2 linked regions of the Rhinolophus ferrumequinum genome follow. The protein of the gene in region 1 interacts with the protein of each later gene in a biochemical or structural test. Links are inferred from orthologs where the notes say so. Each region holds a gene or a part of one and is shown on either strand. Other genes may lie near its edges.

What was found.
Region 2: the proteins of MAP4K1 (region 1) and CRKL form a complex in vitro, tested with the Homo sapiens proteins (2 studies listed by BioGRID). The link is inferred for Rhinolophus ferrumequinum from reciprocal best matches to the Homo sapiens genes MAP4K1 and CRKL.

The regions. Positions count from the first base shown.
Region 1 is NC_046298.1:37,984,152-37,994,838, forward strand, and holds the start of MAP4K1 (mitogen-activated protein kinase kinase kinase kinase 1), read right to left. Parts: upstream 4,197-10,687; 5' UTR 4,141-4,196; coding exon 4,042-4,140; intron 3,881-4,041; coding exon 3,823-3,880; intron 3,706-3,822; coding exon 3,615-3,705; intron 2,887-3,614; coding exon 2,822-2,886; intron 1,367-2,821; coding exon 1,311-1,366; intron 1,222-1,310; coding exon 1,174-1,221; intron 1,010-1,173; coding exon 967-1,009; intron 871-966; coding exon 798-870; intron 295-797; coding exon 163-294; intron 1-162. Other genes in the region: EIF3K (eukaryotic translation initiation factor 3 subunit K), read left to right, coding at 5,440-5,498, 6,331-6,429, 9,012-9,132. UniProt on the Homo sapiens protein: Serine/threonine-protein kinase, which plays a role in the response to environmental stress. Appears to act upstream of the JUN N-terminal pathway.
Region 2 is NC_046308.1:23,324,308-23,334,193, reverse strand, and holds the start of CRKL (crk-like protein), read right to left. Parts: upstream 4,598-9,886; 5' UTR 4,098-4,597; coding exon 3,787-4,097; intron 1-3,786. UniProt on the Homo sapiens protein: May mediate the transduction of intracellular signals.

The sequences.
Region 1 (10,687 bases):
TTTCTGGGTTGAGGGGATCCTTGGGGGGTCTCAGACTGGGCTTGGAGAAAGAGGGGTTCTCCCATAGGAGGGTCTTGATGTGGGGAGGCAGGCTGGGGGTGTGTTCAGGGTCAGGAATGGGCGGGGTATCTGGGCTCTGGGGGACCTGCCACACTTGCCTACCTGAGAGGGTGCACATCAAAGAGCGGTGGCTGTAGCTCAGCTAGTTCGATGGCTGTGATGCCCAGGGACCAGATGTCACACAGTTCGTTGTATCCCCCTTTCAGAGCCACAGCTGCCACTTCTGGAGCCATCCTGGGGGCAGAGACCCTCAGAGAGCCAGGGGTGACACAAGAAGGAGGGGGAGGGGAGGCTCCTTGGTGTGGGGATTGGAGGGGGGAGAGAGGCAAAGTAAGAAGGAGAATGGGGGGGACGGGAGATGAGGCATAGAGAGAGGCAGATGCAGAAAGAAACATAAAGATGGAGAGAAAGAGACAAAGAGAGAGACAGAGAGTGAGAGAGATAGAAGAACAGAGACAGAGAGAGGTGCACACTGAGACAGAGAAAAAAGACAGAAATCGACAGATAGGGAGGGACAGACCAGGATACAAATCAACACAAACACTTAGAGAAACAGGTGGAAAGGAGCCCAGAGAGACCTAAGTAAATGGAAAATTCAAGAGAGAGACAAAGAGAAGACAGAATGTTAACAGAGCAAGGCAGATTCAGGGAGAAGGAGCCAGAAGATTTCCAGAGATCAAGGTAGAAAAGGCCCTGCTCCCCACTGCACCCCTAGCTGCCCGCTGGGTACCCCTCACCAGTAGGGTGTCCCAATGAAAGAGAGGCGTCGAGCCAGCGTTGCCCCGATCTGGGCTGAGATACCAAAGTCAGCTGGAGGCAGAGAGAAAAGACATAGTGACCTGGGGTCCCCTGTCCCCTCAGGCCCCCAGCCAGGCCCCCTCTGCAAACTCCCCCAGCCACACTCACCCAGTCTGACCTCCCCAGAGTCATTGATGAGGATGTTGGCTCCCTGGGGATGAGGGAGCATTAGCGGCTGGCAGAGACCACCATTCCCGGCCCAACACTGCCTCTTGCTTCCCCGCCCCACAGCTCAACCGCCCTACACCTTCCAAATAACACTCCCACCTCCTGGGCCCCCCACCCACCACAGCCACCTTTCTGCCCCTAGACCACCTTGATGTCCCGGTGTATCTTCTTCTGTGAGTGGAGATAGGCCAGTCCCTGAGGAGGAGGGTGGGCATGGGGGCTGTAAGAGCCTGGGGACTGGAGCAGGGCCCCGCCCCACCCAGGCCCACCAGGCCTCCACTCACCTGGAGCACTTCTCGGCAGACATAGCTAATCTGGAGCTCTGACAGGGGGCCTGTCACTGCAAAGATCACCCCAGGGCAGCATTGGCTGGGAACCAGGAAGCCTGGCCCTGGGAGCCCTGGGTCCCCGCCCACACCAGCCCAGAGGGTGCCACATGCAGAGGGGCATACAGGAAGGGACAAGTACGTGGGGAGATGGAGGGGTGATCAACGAAAGAAAGAATCAGCAGGGAACCAGAGGCCAGAGGGAGACAGCAGACATTTACTGTGTATTTACTGTGTGCCACGCACTGTGGTAGGCACTGGACGAGAGCAACAGATCCCTGCCCTCCTGGAGAGAACATTCCAGTGGGAGAAGCCAACAGTAAACCAGAAAAAGTAAAATATGCAGTGCAGGAGATGCTCATACTAAGAAAAACAGAGTACGAGGACCACGGGAAACATACATGGGAAGGCGATGACTTGTTACACAGGCTGGTCAGAGAAGGCTACTCTGTGTACAGAGTAAGTGATAGGATGGAGATGTGAGCAGTTCCCCCCCAGAGGAGGAACAAGATCCGGTGCAGAGGCTGGGCGGTGGGAGGGTGTCTGGTGGGCTTGACAAGCAGCGAAGTGGGTGGACGCGGGGCAGGAGATGAGGTGGTTCGGCTTGGGATGCCGTGGTGGTCAGACTCATGGGTCATGATGAGGGCTTTGTTTAGAGGGAAATGGAAGCCATGGGAGGGCCCTACCCGGGGCGATGGGACTCTGCAAAATGAGCAAAGGCAGAGGTACACAGAGACAGACAGACAGAAGCGGGACCAGATCCAAACTGAGATAGAGAAAGAGGTGGTAAGAGACCAAAAAGTGGGAAGACAGACATTTCGAAAGAGAGATACAGAGAGAGGGTGGAGAGGGAATGACAGAGAGAGGTGGAGGGAAAACAGGTCTGACGGTCTGGCTGTGTGAGTTACTTCCTCTCTGTGGGCCTCAGTTTCCTCCCTGAGGACTTTGTAATAAAATCATTCCTTTTCTGACATTTGAAGTGTTGGGCTGGAGGGACACAGGAAGATAGTCAAAGACAGAGGTAGGCATCAGAAATTGAGAGGTGATCAGAGACCCACTCCATCTCCACCATCAAATTCTTCAAGAGCGTGAAAAAGTAGGCCAAGAGAGAGGATCAGATATTCATTCACTCATTCAATGAAAATGTGGGCACCTACTATAGCCAAAAAATGCAGAAATACTCAAACACACGAATAGACGGTGAGAAAATGCAGACATAGAGGAAGATGGGGCTGGACAGAGGGGATGGTTGCATGTAGAAAGATTGGGCTGGACTATCAGGTCCCAGAGGGCAGGGACCAGGGTCCACTCGGTCCCACAGTACCCCCAGCCAGACCCAGGCCCAGAGGAGGGGCTCACTGTATGAAATACGGACCAGAAAAACAGTCTTAGGCGGCACAAACACAGAGAGACAGGAGGGGTGGATGGAGGGGCGGGAGCTTCCTGGATCCCCTTGCCCTTCCTCTCACCTTGGTAGATGTCCTGAAGAGAACCAGCCCCACAGAATTCCATGCAGATCCAGAGCTTCTGCAACCTACAAAAGTGCAAGAGTAGTAATAACAATAATAGTAATAAATTATAATTGATAGGACAGCCCCTGGCTCACTGTCTTGTTCTGAATTTTAATGTAACAGCTGTCATCTCTCTATCTCCCCTTGCCAGAGTGGGATGATCCCACTTCCATTTTATAGATGGGAAGTTGAGGCTCAGAGGAAATGTATGTTCAGGATCAACTGGGCTTGAACCCAGGTCTTTGGGCTCCTAACCCAGGGCTCCCTCCACTGTCCCATGATAACCTCAGAAACAGGGCAGAGATCTCACAACTTGCAGAGGTTCAAAGGGACACAGAGGCCCAAGGTGCCAGGTCTGGGGGACAGAGGTCATTATTGGGGCATCTGGGATATTAAATTGAGGGTCAAGGAATTTAGGGGTTCATATTGAAAGAGCAGAGAGGGAAACTGGGGGATCCGAAAGGCAGGATGATGAAAGATCAGTTTTAGGAAACTAAGTTTCAGATTTGGTTACTATAAAGAGATCAATTTTGGGGACCCATGATCAGAAATGGGAGTTCTGAACTGAGGGTTAGATTAGGCGGTGTTCTGTTCAGAAAAGTGGGAGTTTGGACTGGGGATCAAGTTAGGGATGCCCCAGTAAAAATGGGGGTCCAGAATTGGAGGTCGGGTTAGGGAGTACTCTGGTCAGGAATGGGAGTGCTGGGGTAGGGGCTGGGCGGGGTCCTAGGGCAGGTCTGAGGCTCATCACCAGAGATAACTCCCATGGTAGGCCACGATGTTGGCGTGCCGGCAAGTTTTCAAGATGAGGATTTCCTTCTGAAGTGTGGAAACATCGTCGTCTGTGAGGAGGGGCAGGAGAGAAAAGGCCACTGCAGGGAGGGAGTATGGGGACAATCCCAGTGTCCCAGGAGGTGGGGGTGGGGTGTGGGGAAGGAGCTCCTGGGTTCTCTCCTCACCAGGCTCCATCTTCACCATCTTCAGTGCCATCAGGTCCCCTTTCACCTTGTCTCGAGCCTTGTGAAGGGGAAGTTGGCAGTCAGACAGGCTCCATTCCCCTGAATTCCTCCTCAGCATCCTTGAGCCAATGCCAAGGACTGGGACCCTCTCACATCCCCTTCCCTTCTTGGGCCTCACCCCAAAGGTCACTAGTTGGAGGGTGATGGGGGGGTCCTCACCTTGAAGACTTCCCCATAGGTGCCGCCACCCAGCCGCTGCAGCAGGTCATAGTGGTCCCGGGGATCCCTATTAAAGATGTCCGGGTCCACGAGGTCCATTCCTGGGGGCTGGAGCTGGGCCTGCGCCCAGGGGCCAGCAGGGCCTCAGGGCTCAAATGCTGGCACCTCCCTCCCTCCCCACACTCCCTGCACCCGCCTTGCCTCCACCGGCTGTGGCCTCCCCCTTCCCCACTCTCGCTTCCTGCCCCAGCCCGGCTGCACAGCCGGCTCCACCCCCTGTCCCCTGGGCCCTGAGAGCCTTGAGGGGCAGCTTGCCTTGGGACCCAGGGGACCCCCCTCCACCTTCAGGGCCTGGGGCTGAATGTAAACCAGATGCAAACTATCTTAAGTGTGAGCTGGTGGGTGCCTCAGCACCCCCTCCCCCGTTCTGGGCGGTGGCTGAAAACCACAGATGAACCTCTGCTGAGTGCTGGAGGGTTTGGCCACAACCTAGAGTGGCAGGTTTGCAACAGTAATGCAATGTACGTTACTGTTAACCTGTGGCACATACATGCACTTAGTGATACCCTCGTGCGGTGCAGACCAGTCGACGTGCACATGCCTGGATACCTGCATACACACGTGTTATGTACCCAGAGCACGACACATGCCTGTGCATTCACGCCTGCAGTGTGCAGAATCTGTACCCATAACATGACAGCATACATGGGGCGCTTGCCTTCACCCACAAGACTGGAGTCTATGGGGACTGGGCGCAATCCTGCGGGGTCCAAGAGCCCTTCATCCCCGCCCTTACCGGGCAGAGCACAACAGCTTTGCGGGCCTCTACCCCTGGAGTTAGGGTGGAGCGTGAGGACCAGTCTCCGGACTTGAAACTGCGGAGCTCAAATGCTGCCTCAGGGGTTCAGGCCTGGGGGAAAGGGGCCCTCGGAGAGCACCTCCCTTGGGAGTTGGCCACGGGTCAAAGGGAGCGCTACTACGTGCATTCCAACTCAGTTTCGTGAATTCACTGCCGCGCGAAACGCGACGTGCGCGCACGCGGTCAAAGACCCTTCTCCTTCCCGGAGAGGGCGACCCCAAGTCCGGCAGAGCAGGGAGCACAGCCGGGGAAAAGCCGAGCCCCGCCTCCTCGCCCTGAGAAGGCGCCGGCGCACTAAACTTTTTTTCACGCGCTTGGTCCAGCTCGGGTGGCGCGTATGCGCACGCGCCAATTGCGCCTGTTGGGAAGAAGTCACGTGGCAGCCGCCGCAAAAGCCTTCCCTTTCACCGCCCCTGGGGCTTGAGAGAAAACAGTGACGTATTTCCGTTTCCGCTGCCTCTTCCTTTTCCGGTCCTCGAGGAAGGTGCATCGGCAGGGACTTCGGCTCCAACCCGCGGGTGTGGGAAGCGACAACAGTCATGGCGATGTTTGAGCAGATGAGAGCGAACGTGGGCAAGTTGCTCAAGGGGATCGACAGGTCTGAGCCCGGTCGGAGGGAGCGCTGCTGGCCGAACGGGGTGGAAGAATTTCTGGAGACAGCAAGGGGTAGTCAGAATGCTGGGCTTGCCCTGGCGTGGGATTTCTCCATCATCCTGGAGGAGATGTTTAAGGAAACAGCATTGCAAAGACTTAGAGCCAAGAGATAGCCTTGCCGACCTCTCAGCCTCCCTCTTTAATTGCCTTACGTCCTCTCAGCGCCTCAGTTTCCTCTTTGCCTGCTCCTCAGCCTCTCACTGTGCCTCTTCATCTCTTCCTTCTTTCCCCCTCATGTCATTCATCCAACATATGTTCACTAAAATCTACTGTCGATGCTGGGCAATGCTGGGGATCAGAGGTGACCAAGACAGCTGTAGGCCGTGCTTTCATGGAGTTCTCAGTTCAGAGTCCAGGCAAACTGACAATAGACAGTGATAGTTGGGAGCAGTCAGGGCTGGGACGGGGGAAGCTAGGAAGGAGAGGCTGGGGCTAGACGGGGGTGGGGGCCTGGGGAGAGGAGGAAAGGGTGGGCGGTAAAGATGTCCAGGCGGTCAGGTATACAGGCTGCAATGACTGAGTGGAGTCTGGGGAGGCATCCTAGGCGTCAGACCCAGGGCTGTGATGGAGTTCAGGGCGTAGGCTCAGGTCTGGGATGTGGATAAATTTTATTAGAGTTCATAGAGCTGATTCAAGACTTAGGTAGAGCAAGTGGCCAATGCCATATTTAAAACGAAGGGGGGGAGGAGCAGGTTACTGTCCCCCTACCCTCCCAATAAAGTGACTGGCTGCATCTCCTGTCTCCTCTCCGCTCACCCATCTTGACTCTCCTCTAGGTACAACCCTGAGAATCTGGCCACCCTGGAACGCTATGTGGAGACACAGGCCAAGGAGAATGCCTATGATCTGGAAGCCAACCTGGCTGTTCTGAAGCTGTGAGTGTTTGCCTCCAACCCCACCCCCATGCCAGGGGCTAGCAGGGTGCGACTCCCCACAGCGGGTGGGGCGGGAGTTGGGCATAGCTTGCAGGGTGTGGCTTCTGTTGGTGTGCAAGACTAGGAAGTCAAGGAAGGTAGGGCAGGAGGAGGGATGGTTTTTTAAAAAATTATGAATTACAAATCACCTATAGACTAGTACGTAAAACACACACAGTCAGCTTTCCGTGTCCGTGGGTTCAACTGACTGAAGATCGAAACTATTTCCCCCAAAATGTGATGTTACTGCTAATGTGTACTGTGTACGAGGTGTGATCAAACAGTACGGTGGATTTTTAAATTAAAAAAAAATTATTATAGTAAAAGATGCAATGCCATTAATCCCCCTCAAAATACTCCCCTTTGCTTCAAACGCACTTATCCCATCGTTCTTGCCACTTTCTGAAGCGGTTCTGGAAGTCCTCTTTCATGAGTGTCTTTCGTTGCACTGTCGCGGCTGCCTCGATGTCCTGAATCATTTTGACTTTGGGGAAGTGCCAGAAGTCGCATGGGGACCGATCCAGTTAGTAAGGTGGATGAGGACACAGCGTAATGTTTCTATTTGACAGAAATTGCCGTACCAGAAGTGATGTGTGACACGGAGCGTTGTCATTGTAGAGGATGATATATGACACACTTTAAAACACACCTTCTTTCAACCATAGCTCACACTGGACTGACTGCACCGAACAAGTTGAAACTGGTCACACACTGTTACTAAGGTTTGACCCGCCGCTTCCCATATTGAAGATCCCCGCCTTTCCATTGGGTGGCACTCGGCAGCAGTATTCACTGTATTTTGTGATCACAACGGGAAGGCTTCGTGTCACACATCGCTGCTGGTATGGCATTTTCTGTCAAAAACACTACGGTGTCCTCATCTACCTGATTCACTGGACCTGGCACCGTGCGACTTCTGACTCTTCCCCAAAGTCAAAATGACCATGAAAAGTAAACGTTTTGAATCGATTCAGGACATCAAGGCAGCCAGACAGCGCAACTTAAAAACACTCACAAAAGAGGACTTCCAGAACTGCTTCAGAAAGTGGCAAGAACGACGGGGTAAGTGTGTTTGAAGGAAGGGGGAGTCCTTTGAGGGGGATTAGGGGTAAGTGTGTTTGAAGGAAGGGGTGTCCTTTGAGGGGGATTAATGGCAATGTGTCTTGAGTAATTTTTTTTTTCATTTAAACAGTCATCATATTTTTTGATCACACCTTGTTGTTTGGCCTACGATGTTTACACCTGTATTGAACACATATAGGCTTTTTTTCTTGTCATTATTCTCTAAACGATATAGTGTAACTATTACTTACAAAACATTTACATTGTATTGGGTATTGTAAGTAGTCTAGAGATGGTTTAAGTGTGTGGGAGGATGTGTGAAGCTTATATGTAAATGTTATGTCATTTTATATAAGGGACTTGAGTGTGGATTTTGGTAGGCACAGGGGCTCCTGGAACCAACTCCCATGGATACTGAGGGATTGTATGTAGTTTAACAAGTAATTATAAATGAGTAACCCATGTGATCACCATCCGTACTGCAAAACTGAGGGTTGCCCCAGGCCCTTTGCTGCATAGGTTTTGTGCTGCCGCTCCCACCACTTATGCTCTCGTGGCCTGGCCTTGTGTGAGTTTACCACACATATATGCATCTCGAGTAGCGTAGCTCAGGTTTGCCTGCTTTGATACAAGTGTAGTCCCACAGCACTAATTCTCCTTCTTCTGGCATCTTCCCCTCAGCTCTGCGTCTGTGAGATCCACCCATTTTCCATGTGGCAACAGTGTGCTTGTCATTGCTGTATAGTGTTCCACTGTGTGACTGTGTCCAAACTATCAGTTCTGTTGACGGATGTTTGGGTTCTTCCCTCTTAAATTCACACAGTACTCGCTGTGTAATTTGTACAGATTCATAGCTTCTGTTTTGATCTCTGTAAAATGGCGATAACAACGCTTGTATTTGTGGGGTTGTGTAGAATGTTACTGATGATAACTGCTGCGTAGTGAGTGCTCACCATGTAGCTGCTGTGCTCTAAGCTTTGTATATATTAAGTGCTCACCATGTAGCTGCTGTGCTCTAAGCTTTGTATATATTAATTCACACAGATGCTGTATTGGGAAGGTAGGTGTGGTTGTCACTGTCCCTTTTTGCAAGGGAGGAAACTGACATATAGAGAATTTAAAATACGTAGTTCACGGTCACTCAGCCAGGAAGTTTAAACCCAGGCAGTCTGGCTCCAGAGCCTTAACCACTACTCCAGGCTGCTATTTGTGTACTCATTTTTTTGTGAATCACTTAACAGTGTCTGACTCACCGGGTGGTTGTAAGGATTAGCTGTCCCTGTGCACAGAGCAGGAAAATAGGGTCGGATCAGGGAGGTTAAGGTCACTTAACCAGAGAGTGCTGTGCTTGGGATTGGAGCCCAGGCATGTCCAGCTCCCAGGGTCTAGGCCAAAGCAGTGCACGTAACGTGCCTGGCACCTGGCGAGGCTCTGGGACGTGGAGATGCCACTCCTGCTATGTGTCTTGTTTCCCTTCTCAGGTACCAGTTCAACCCAGCGTTCTTTCAGACCACAGTTACCGCCCAGATCCTGCTAAAGGCCCTCACCAACCTGCCCCACACCGACTTCACACTGTGCAAGTGCATGATCGACCAGGCACATGTATCCTTCCAGCTCTCAGGCCTGGGTGTATGCGGGGCGGTGGGGGACGGGGCAAGGGAGGTGTACTCCTAGGGAAGGCGTCTGCGAGTTTAGCCACAAACACTGAGTACCTACCTGCTCTTGGTGTGGCCTGGTGCTGGGTGGAGCTGGTGTCCTATGGTGCCTGAAACAGCCCCACCCTTACAGAGTTCACAGTCCAGTGGGGGAGACAGGTCCCTTGTCACTGACAGCCTGGAGTCAGGGCTTGGAGGTACGGGGGCCAGAGGGGGCCCCTGCCTGGATGTTAGGGAACACTTCCTGGAGGAGGGGCCATCTGTAAGATGAGTTGTTAAGTGAAACGCTAGAGAAGAGTGATCCAGGCAGAAAGAACAATATGTAGGGAGGCCTGGAGGAAAAGAAGAGCTCAGTGCTCTTTTAGAGGCCACAGAAGTTCAGCATAAGCTGTGTCACAGGTTTCAAAGGGGAATTTGATCAGACTCAGGGCACTGGGGAGCCAGAGAAGACTTTAAAGCTGCAGAGACATGGAGGTACTTAGGCTTTAGGAAGATTCCCATGAGGGTTCCTAGCTGAGTAAAGACAACCAGGCAAGAGGCAGGGGGGGCTGGGGGCTGGAGGCTGGGCACCAGGCAGGAACTGTGAAGAGATAGATTGTCAGTTAAACTTCATTATATTTAGCTTCAGTGCCTATGTGACACAGTGCTGGCCTTTAATGAAAAAAATCAGTGAATTGATTCCCACCCCCGCCCCCTGTCCCAACTGCTTTTTCTTTTTCTTTTTTTTTTGTGGCTGACCAGAAAGTAGCAAAATCCTCCGTAGCGTAACCCTTGGCCAGGTGAGCCTCCAGCCTTTTTTTAATCACTTGAGAAACTTGGCAGAGTCCTCTATGCTGGGCCCTATGCTTGTAGAGCTCACAATCCCAAGGGTGTCACACATACCTGCCCGTTAGTGGCTAAGGTGAGAAACGGCCGCTTACTGAGCCTGCTCTGCCAGGTGTGTCCATGCGAGTGCCTGCCTTCTGAGAGATTGTCCCCCTTTCCCAGGGGTCTCTTCTGGTGGCTTTAAAAAAAAATAGGCATATGATAACGCTGTTAAAAGTACAAAGAAGTGTACAGTGAAAAAAACAAGGCTTCCTCCTTCTCATATCCCAGAGCCACCCTGCTCCCCTCCCAGGAGGCAACAGTTGTTTACAACTCTTGGGGACCTTTCCACAGATACCCTATAGACGCATAGGTACAGCTGTTTGTGTTTATATACATACATGTCCCCCACCCAAATGGTAGGCTGTTATGCACATTGTTTTGTATATTGTTTTGTATATTTGTATATGTCTTGCTTTTTTCATATTACAGTGTCTTGTCACATTCTCCACATCAGTTCTATATGAGTTGGCTCAATCTCTGTGGGTGGGCCATTATTGATCTAATTGTCCCCATCGTTGGATTGTTAGGTTGTCTGTCACCTTTTGCCGTTACAACTCATGCTGCAGGGAATAGAAAGAGGTGGAAGGGGAGGTCTGGTCTAGGACTCTGCTTCCACAGCCATCTGCCCTTAGCGC
Region 2 (9,886 bases), on another chromosome or scaffold:
GTAGGCTGAGCAACCTTTGTCGGTTCTCCCACAGCTACCTTATCATACTAGCTAGCAGGGAAATGACCTTTTAAAAAATCTCTGCAACCACTGACCTCAAGAGCATGACAGGGACTGTCGATTCAATGCTAGCATTTCCATTTTACCAGGTACATGCAATATGCAATGTCTGTTGAGTGAAAAACAAGACTTTTCTCTAAGGGTCAACTTGCCTCAGTTTTAAACTTTTTACTTCTCATGATTCTTCTCCTAGCCTTTATACATAAGCTAGAACTGGAAAAGCCAGTTACGCAAAACACTTTCAAGTTTCTAAACCATGGGAAAATGTAGTTCATATCTAAACAATCCACTTAGAACCTTCTAAAACATTGTTATTAAACTGGAAATAACCTCTAGTAAATTAAAAAAACACTACCGCTTACCTAACAACTATAACTTAATACACGGAATGTTAAAAATGTTTATGCTCAAAAAAAAAAATGGAAGTGAAAACCACCACAGGTTTTCTGTTTATCAAATGATTTGTAATATAAAAATTACACCCTCAGAAAGAGAATCCTTTAGGGTCATTCAAAATCAACAAAAGCCATCTGACATGATACCGTTTGGGGGTTAAATTTAAAAACCACCACAAGAACACCACAAATACAAAAAGCAATTGCAGTACTGAGATAAACCCAGAGAACACAAAGCTGCAAATACACCACTGTCATCTCTGTTTCTCCTTTCTCTTGCCCCATCATCCCCTTCCCATCAGCATCAATCTTATCTTCAAAATAGGCATCTCCGAGCCAAAGTGTTCTATGTCAGTCTATGTCTGTATGACCTATGACATACACTGTGTCATCAGTCACCATCATTTTGCACCTGGATTACAGTAACAGCCCCAGGTCCCTCCCCTGCTTCAAACTCCTTCCACAGCACCCACTGCACTTTAAATAAAACCCAATTTCCTTACCTTGACCACAGTATCTCCAAACTCTTCTTATAACCTGTTCCTTTAAGAACCAGACTCCCAGTATGTGGTTGGCTTCTCATGTCAGGACTTTGCATAAGCTCTTCTCTATGCTTGGAAGACTCTTCCCCTTAGCCTAAACCTTTCCAAGGCTTGCTTTTCTTCTCTATCCTTAGGTAGTTTCATGCTTTCTCTGACCACATAAGCTCAAGTCAGTCCCTTCTATTATATTTTCTTGGCCTAGGTTTACTTCCTTCATAGCATTTCTTAATTTTGTATTTTATTTATTTTTCTACTTTTCTGCCTCCTCCACTAAAATGTAGTTCCACGATGAAGAAAGCAATATCTGTCACCCATCTTTCCTAGTCCCTATCTCTGGGATAAAATTTTCTTGTAAATATTTGAATAAAAATATAAAATTAAAAGTTAAGGAACATTGCAATAAAAAATCAGACTAGAACAAAACAAGCACCAATTCTTAAATTCTGAGTTAAGTCATACAGTTATGATCTTCTGCTGAGCAAAATAAAAAAAACGAACTATTAGCCACGGCGTATGAAATTCTGGCTTCAAGAGCTCAGTTATGATGCCTAAAAAGCTAACCCACTTAATCTAGCCTGTTTGGGGTGTGAAAAATCATTACACTGACTTTTGCATCTGGCCAAGGTTTTACCAGCCTCTAGATTTCTACAAAGGCTAATAACACATCAAACCAAATCCGTGAATTTCAGGCTGGGGAGAGGCAAAGATTCAGTATAACAAAGTCATTCCAGTCAGGATCTAATTCAGCCAGCATTGTGAAGGCCCTCCGAGATACCAGGGAAAATGAAAAACTAAATTACAGCAACACGCCTGGGGCGGAGGGCACAGAGAAGGAGAACTAATCAAAGCTGAATGTGAGGGGGAGGGTCAGGGAAAGGTCCTATTATTTGAGAGGTGCCTGGAACAACAGGTAGGATTTCAATACAGTAAGTGAGGAGTGGGTGGGTAGGCAGTCACTGAAGAGCCAACAGCCTGCGCAAAGGTTCCGGGAATGAGCGAGCGGCCTAGCGGGGCGGCGGTCAAGGTGGGAGGAGAGGACAGGCATCGATCACATCTCCGAAGGCACAGTGTATGGAAGATTTGGAGTCGTTGTTGGGGGTAGTGGGAAGCGACTGAGGCCTATCAAGCCATTTACTTACACTTTTTGAAACAGCTATAGTATATAGTACCTGTCACCTCAAGAAAGCACAATGCCTTGCCCATAGCACGGCTTAATAAATGCCTGAAATTCATGATATGATTCACCTTCCCAAGTTAGGAAAATCATTTACGTAAACACATTACAAAATCTCACTACCATGGATTCTAAGATTCTATCCCTTACATTGTAATTATATCGTGCTCAAAGTGAGTCCAATTACCAGCATCTTCGGGGACCTGGAGTTTCACCAGATTCTTGGTGTCTAGGTCTTTGTTACACAGTATTTGATTTATAATCACTTTGTCCCAGTTTTTAAAGTCCATTTACTTCAGCAGTTAATCTCATAGTCATTATACTGTCATGGCTTTGTTTTTTTCTCTATCTCTACTCCACAGAAGCCAACACTTAGGGTGCTCCTTAATGAATTATAATACCTTATAATGATTCAAGCTCGGAGTAATCTCGTCAGCAAATTCATAAAATCAGAAACATCTCATCCCCCAAAATCTCCTGTATTTTTAAAATAGATGTTTAAGAAACAAATTGGACAGTGAAATACCTTTTATTTTTAAAATTCTAGGCAATTTCTTCAGCTCAAATTTGGCATAATTTCAGCTCAAATCTGGCATGAAAGAAACATCTGATAAAATACTGACTAAGACAAATTAAAGCAAATAATCAAATAAAAGAATGCATTTTATTTACAAAAGGGGATGCTTGATGCTCAGTGTCACTTAGGGTTGTTAACTTTAAAAGGTATTAAATCATTAGACTTAATACAAAAAAAATCTAAAACTGAACTACGATAGAATTAAAGTGTCTTTTAAAAATTTCCCTTAGTAAGCAAATATTCTAGCCTTATTCCTCCTTGAAATTAAACCAAGTGGATTTTTAGCCTATTAACGGTCCAGCTTGGGGGAAAACTGTAAAATAAAATAAATAAATAAAATGCCCTCACTGAAGCCAATGCACCTTCTTTTAAGATTTTTTTGTAACTGATGTATGATAAAATAGAATGTGTCTGGCTTATTTCAAACCTGGCACCAAGGTATCGACATACAGTTCTGATACTACTTCACATTTAAAGGTTTTTGTTCCTAAACGCTAAAGCATTGTCATTTGTCGATCGTTCCAAAGGCTGCAGTCCAAGAGTTCTTAACCTGGAGTTCAGAGATCTGCAGGGAGTCCAAGACCCTTGAATGGCGTGCAAACTTGTGTGTACGTGCATTTTTGGGGGGAGGGAGAATGCCACGGCGATATTAATATTCTCAAAGAAGTCTGTGATCCAAAAAAGGTTTAAATAAAAAAATCCCAAAACAACAAAAACCCTCCTTTAGCATGATAACCAAATAAAGAATGTGATGAAAAGCAAAACGCGTACATTTTATCTATGCAACCGCCGTTAAATCTGTTTAAGACACATCCCCTTCATCCACAGTGACCCAGATCCTGGCACTAGCCTTCCCTTCCGAAAGGCTTCTGGAAAGTAATTTGGTTCAGAATAGGGGGAAATGAGTTCAATGACCCCTCTCCCCGCCCCCCCCCCACACACACTCTTGGATGGACCCCAAGCGAACCAACCCAGCCACTGTCGACCTTCCTCGGGGGTCGGGGTGCGTAGCGCGCCCGGCTGCGGGCGCTCGCGTACCTGGGCGCGGGCTCGATAAGCGTGGTGGTGTCCAGGTAATGGATCTTGTAGAACTCCAGTAGGGCCGGCAAGTGATCAAACTCCTGGTCCCCGATCTTAAAACGGCGGTTGGGCAACGAGTTGATGATGTAGTGGGAGACCCGCGAGTTCTCGGACACCGACAGCACATAGTCCCCCGGGCAGGTGGAGGAGTCGCGGACTAGGAACATGCCATGGCGCTGGCCCTGGAGCCGGGTCTGCGCCTCCTGGCGAGACACCGGCCCCATGTACCAGGCGGAACGGTCTGATGAGTCGAACCTGGCGGAGGACATGGTGTCGGGCAGGCGCTCTGGGGCGGCGGCTGCTCTTGCCCGCTCTGGACGCCTTTGCCCGCCAGACGGCTTTGGGACCGAAGAAGGGCCTCTCGGCACACCTCAAGGCGCGCTTAGAGGGCCGAGCCAGCACCTTCCTCTTGGCTCTGGGCCCGCAGCATCCTCCGCCTCCGCCCGCCTGCTCCGGGGCCGCCTCACGGAGGGAGCCGGCTCGGGGAATGCCGGGCAGAGCCTGAGGTCGGGGCGGGTGAAGCCGAGCCGCAGCAGAGGCCGCCCCGGGGTTCTCGGGATGCTCGGCGTCCGTGGGTGCCTCCAGTCACTCCTGACCTGAAACGCGTCGGCTCTGCGCTCCCACGGATCTGCGCCAACCCCCGCTGACACACCAAACACCGGAGTCCAAAGAGCGTCGCGCCTCTAGGGCGGTTTTGCCCAGCCGGTTCCCAAGAGCTACAGCAACAAAATGGCGGACGCGAGATAAGCCGCCGGCCACCTCCCCCTCCGCTCACCGCGCTCAGTCTGCGCACGCGCGGGCTCGCCTACCAGCTGCCGCCGGGACCCTCCCCGTGACGTCGCGCGGCATAGCCAATCAGGAACTCGGCCGAGACGGCCGGGGCGTGCGCCGCTCGCGCGCTATCCCGCGTTCCGGGAGGAGGCTGAGGAGGTGGGGAAGTTGGCGGCGGCGGGCACTCCCTTCCTGGGCCACTGTGCGCCGCCGGGGGCGCTGCCTCTGCCGGGTCTCCCCGCACTGGCAGGAAAACAGCTGGAGCCGAGAGGGAGAGGCATTTCGAAAACCTGTTCTGGGAACAAAGCGTAACGCGCTGGCCGAACCTCCGGCCCTGGTAGCGTGTCACTGAGGTGACCTGGCCGGCGGAGGAGACCCGCGCTAAGAGAGACCGACGGGAGTATAAACCCGGATTGGCCGAGGTGGCTCAAGAAGATGATCGTGGGGGCTGAGGCGACACTAGATAGGGGGAGTAGGTGACCCTGGCCCGAGGAGGCCTTGTAGGCCTAGGGACCCAGAGTGACCCGGTGACCCGACAGGCACAAGTGGGAGGTGTAAAGGTTGGATTGACAGGATTAAATGGTCTAGAAAGTGTTTAGGGTAATCTGGCGGTCACTGGCGCTGAATTGATGCAAGTTAAATACAAAAGCCTCTTGGGCGTGGCCTCAAGGCCTCGCCTGCCAGGGATTCTACTGGCTTCTCCGAGTTAATCTTCCCCCTTGTTCACCCCTCTCCTGCCTTGGCCTCCTAGTCTTTGTTCTCCCCACCCTCCAACTAGATTGTAAATATTGAGAGAGGATCTTGTCTGAATTGTTCACCTCTGGGCCTAGCACAATGTCGGGCCCTAAGTTGATGCTTTCAAATATTTGTTGAGTGAATATTAAAAAACCTCGAAGTTCCTGGTGCCCGATTATTGGTAGCACCACTCCCTGAATTGAACAGAAAAGAAAGCATGTCCAGAAAGGGAGATGCACGCAGTACAAACCCATGCTTAGATCCCTCTTTCAATGCAATTTCATTTTGGCTGTTTGCACATCCCCTTCCTTCAGGTTGAACATGTCCTAGAATGTATAGGGTGATAGGTGATGCCCATCCTAGGGTAAACTCAAGGGTCATGGGCTGGTGCCTTTTGTGACTCAGCAGAAGCACGTTTTCATCAATTGCCCACACACTTTCATGTATTATTTGAAGTTTCATGAATTGATATGCACTATCTAAATTAGGTATTATTGAGTTCTTCTGTTAAGTAAAAGGCAACCTCAGGTACAACTTGAATAGCACAGAATTTGAAGCTAACTGTTGAGGTTCAAATCTTGACTCAGTCAATTGACTAGCTGAGTGACCTCTGGCCAGTTACTTAATCATTCCATCCTTGCCTCATGTATTATTAAACAGGCTAATACATGTAAAGTACTAAGAATAGTGCATGGCACATATTAAGTATCATATAAGAATCTTTCATTATTTTTATTCAGTCTCTCCCTGGCCTTCTACCCATAGCCTTAAAAAAAGTGCAGATCTTAAAATGGGTGTGTGAGGGTGGAGAGAAAAATCTCCATTTGATTTTCTAGCTGATTTTCACTGCCAGATTTTCCCACTTCACTGAGCACTCCTTGCTCAGCCTTCTTCGTTTGGCTTCTACCCTTACTTTGCCTGAAACTGGTCTTTGGAGATCATTAGTGATCTCCATTGAATCCATTGATCTACCTAGCTTTAAGTGTTTATACTAAAAATCTCTTTTTTCTTTTTTAAAAGATTTTTTTGGGGAAAGGGAACAGGACTTTATTGGGGAACAGTGTGTACTTCCAGGACTTTTTTTCCAAGTCAAGTTGTCCTTTCAGTCTTAGTTGTGAAGGGCGCAGCTCAGCTCCAGGTCCAGTTGCCGTTGCTAGTTGCAGGGGGCGGAGCCCACCATTGAACTGGCAACCTTGTGGTTGAGAGCCCACTGGCCCATGTGGGAATCGAAGAACCGGCAGCCTTTGGAGTTAGGAGATGGAGTTAGGCCCATCTGAGCCACCGGGCCAGCCCTAAAAATCTCTTTTTGAAAAGACTTTTCTCCCTGCCCCCAGCTCCTAGTACACTAACAATTTCTTCCACCTCTCCAAATATACTTTCTCAGCCTCTTCCTGTGGCACTTTTGTCTCCAGCCTCTGTGGAGAAGCTCAGTCCTTAACCTTTCTACAGCTTCTCTTTTCGTAGACCATGATGAAGGCTTTAGGAGTCACCTCTCTGTCGGTGACTCTGAAACAGGTATATTCTAAAAATAGAACAAAAACTGACCACACCCTATGATTACTGTGCAAACAGTAGTCACCGCCCAAATTAATTCTTATCCGATTCTACTATAATTGTTTATATAATAAGTGTGTCTCCTAATCTGAGCATCTTGGAGGCAGACAGTGGTGTTATTTTTTTGTATTCCCACTGCCTAGCACAATGCCCAGCACATAATACATACTTAATAAATGGTTTTTTTATGTAGGTGGATAAAGACAGGGAGAAGCTAGAGAAAACTGAACATTTATTTTGCTGAGGGTAAGGAGACTGTGCAATTATTTCCTATTATTAACATAATGAATGTATTTTAAATAGATATTTGGATCAAAGGTTTAGCCCCATGTCTCCCTCTCTGTTTAGTCTTCCATTTGGATTAAACTTTGCCTTTCAGCTTCTCCTTTTCTGTCAATAGCATCACTGTTTTCCTAATTTGTAGATTCAAATCTGAGTCATCTTTTACTTAACTGAAGAACTCAATAAAACCGAATTTATATAGCGCATTTTAATTCACAAAACTTCAAATAATACATTGTTTTACTTAATTCAACCAAAGTCCCATGAAGTACCCTTTTGTAGATAGAAATTCAGAGAGGTTAAGTGTTACTTACATAATTTATAAGTTATATAATTTGCAAAAGGCAGAGCTGAATGGACTCTTAAGCCAGATCTTTTGACTTGAAGTCAAGGTCTCATTTCACTGTTACCCAACTGCCTATAATTTAGTCCATATTCTGTGTTTTGCTGATAGCGAAACTGAGGCCCTCCGAAATAGATTCTAGCACCAGAAAGGAATATCAGTCTTGAAATAGGGGTTGGATTTGTCCCCCAGCTTGGATTTTAGATAGCACCACCATTCTGCTGCCAAAATGCCACGCTCCCCTCTTTAAAAATTCCTCTTAAAAATTGATCAAAATACCTCTCCTTTAGCTTCAAAATAGTCCAGTGGGAAATAGGGTGTGGACTGGATAAAAGTGAAACAAAAATGGCCTTGTGTTGATAATTGTTGAAACTGAGTGACATGATGTGTGTGTAGGGGGGATTATATTGTTCTACTTTTGTATATGTTTGGAAATTTTTACAATAGAAATTTTTTTTAGTACTTTCCTTTATGTTTCCTCAGCACAGCTGAGAGAAGCTTAAAAATAGTTCCAAAAAGTGTTCCTAGATGCTAAGAGATAAAATGGAAATTAATGGATAAGCAACAAAGAAGCATTTTAAAAAAGGGCTGTAATATAAAGATTTGTGATTCTGCCTTAGCTTGCTCATTCCCAGGGTTTCCACGTGGTATTACACTTAACACTCATCTTCTGAGAAGTTTACAATCTAGATTCAAAGGACTGACAAGGATTTTAGAGCAACTTGTCTGGATTCCTTATTTCCTAGCCCTGCGGCTGCCTCTGTACAGAGGACACGACCTTGAGACCCACTACCGACTTTTTGTTCTCCCCTCTCTGGTCAGGTCCAACCTTTTGGCTGATGGGTAAGCCAGGCAGTCTTCCTACATTGCTGCCTTACTGAGGACACGAGAGGAACAAGTGTCTGTCCCTTCCTCCTGCCCTAGATTCTTTTCTAGCAATGATGCTGAGGGTAAAAGGGGCATGACCGTGTCGATGGGGAAGTATGTGAAGTATTTATTTCACTGACTTGATAAGGCCAGACATTCTCAGATGCTCTCTCCATAAGAATTCACTGACCTGTTCAATTTCTACTGCATTTATTAACCTGATTCTTTGAACTTTTCCCCTCTTAAGTAATAAATTTTTTCTCTCATTCATCAGTTCTTTTCAGTCCCTATTCCCCCATGTTTTACATGTATTTCTAAGTTTATCTCCTAAAACAGAAAAGGAGCTTATTGATGATTTCTTTTTTTCCTGCTATTACTTTATTACTACAATACTAATAAAATAATGTTCATATACCCATTATAATTTTCCATACCAAACAATTTAAAATAATCATTTTGTTCATAGGGTAATATCTCTGAAGTAGGCCTAGCTGCCATATCCAGAAGGTCTGTTAACCACTATCGAAAGCACTGACCTTTATTCCAGTGTTTTAAAGTGTAGTCATATTCTTCTTCCCATTTTCTAATGTAGTTTCTAATTGCTGTGTTACCTTTTATGTAATGTCCACTTTCTTGTCACTTAGCTACTTGTGGGCTGAAAGGCAAATTTTCTTGTTTCTCCTGGATTTCAGAGTACTCTGGAGTATCATTAGTAAAATTCTGAGCAGAATGATCCTTCTGCTAGAGAACACTGATTCCCTCTTACACTTATCTCAAAGAAGTCAGTTCTATGCATCCCTTTAGAAATCAGGAGTCACCACATATATATATATATATTTTTTGTAAAGGGTCAGATAGTAAAATACTTTAGGCTTTGCAGGCCAAGAAGAAAATCAAGAATATTATGTAAGTACTTAAATAACAAGAAAAAAATTTCTACAGTTTAAAAAAATGAAATGCAAATTATAGTAATTAAGTAATCATTTTGTAATCCAGGTATACTAATGAGAAGAATGGAATTGTTTTTTGGGGATAATATTTTGCTTAATTGGGGTTCAATGGCTAGTGTTCCCTATCGTCAGATGGTGAGCTATTAGTGCTGATCTGTAATGATACTTTACATATTTCTGTTTTGTTTTGTTTTAATTGGGGAATATTGGGGAACAGTGTGTTTTTTCCAGGACCCATTAGCTCCATGTCATGTCATTTTTTTTTTTTCTTTCAATCTAGGTGTGGGGCACAGTTCAGCTCCAAGTCAAGTCGTTGTTTTCAGTTTAGTTGTGGAGGGCTCAGCTCACTGGCCCATGTGGGAACTGAACCGGCGACCGGTGTTACGAGCGCTGCGCTCTGACCACTGAGCAAACCGGCGGGCCACCCGAGACTTTATAGACTTAATCTTTGAAAATGTCTTTCACTCAGATGTTACTGCCAATACTGCTAGTCAATCCATGAGCATGATCTTAATTGAACATTTTCATTGTTAGAAGGCATGTATGGAATTTTATT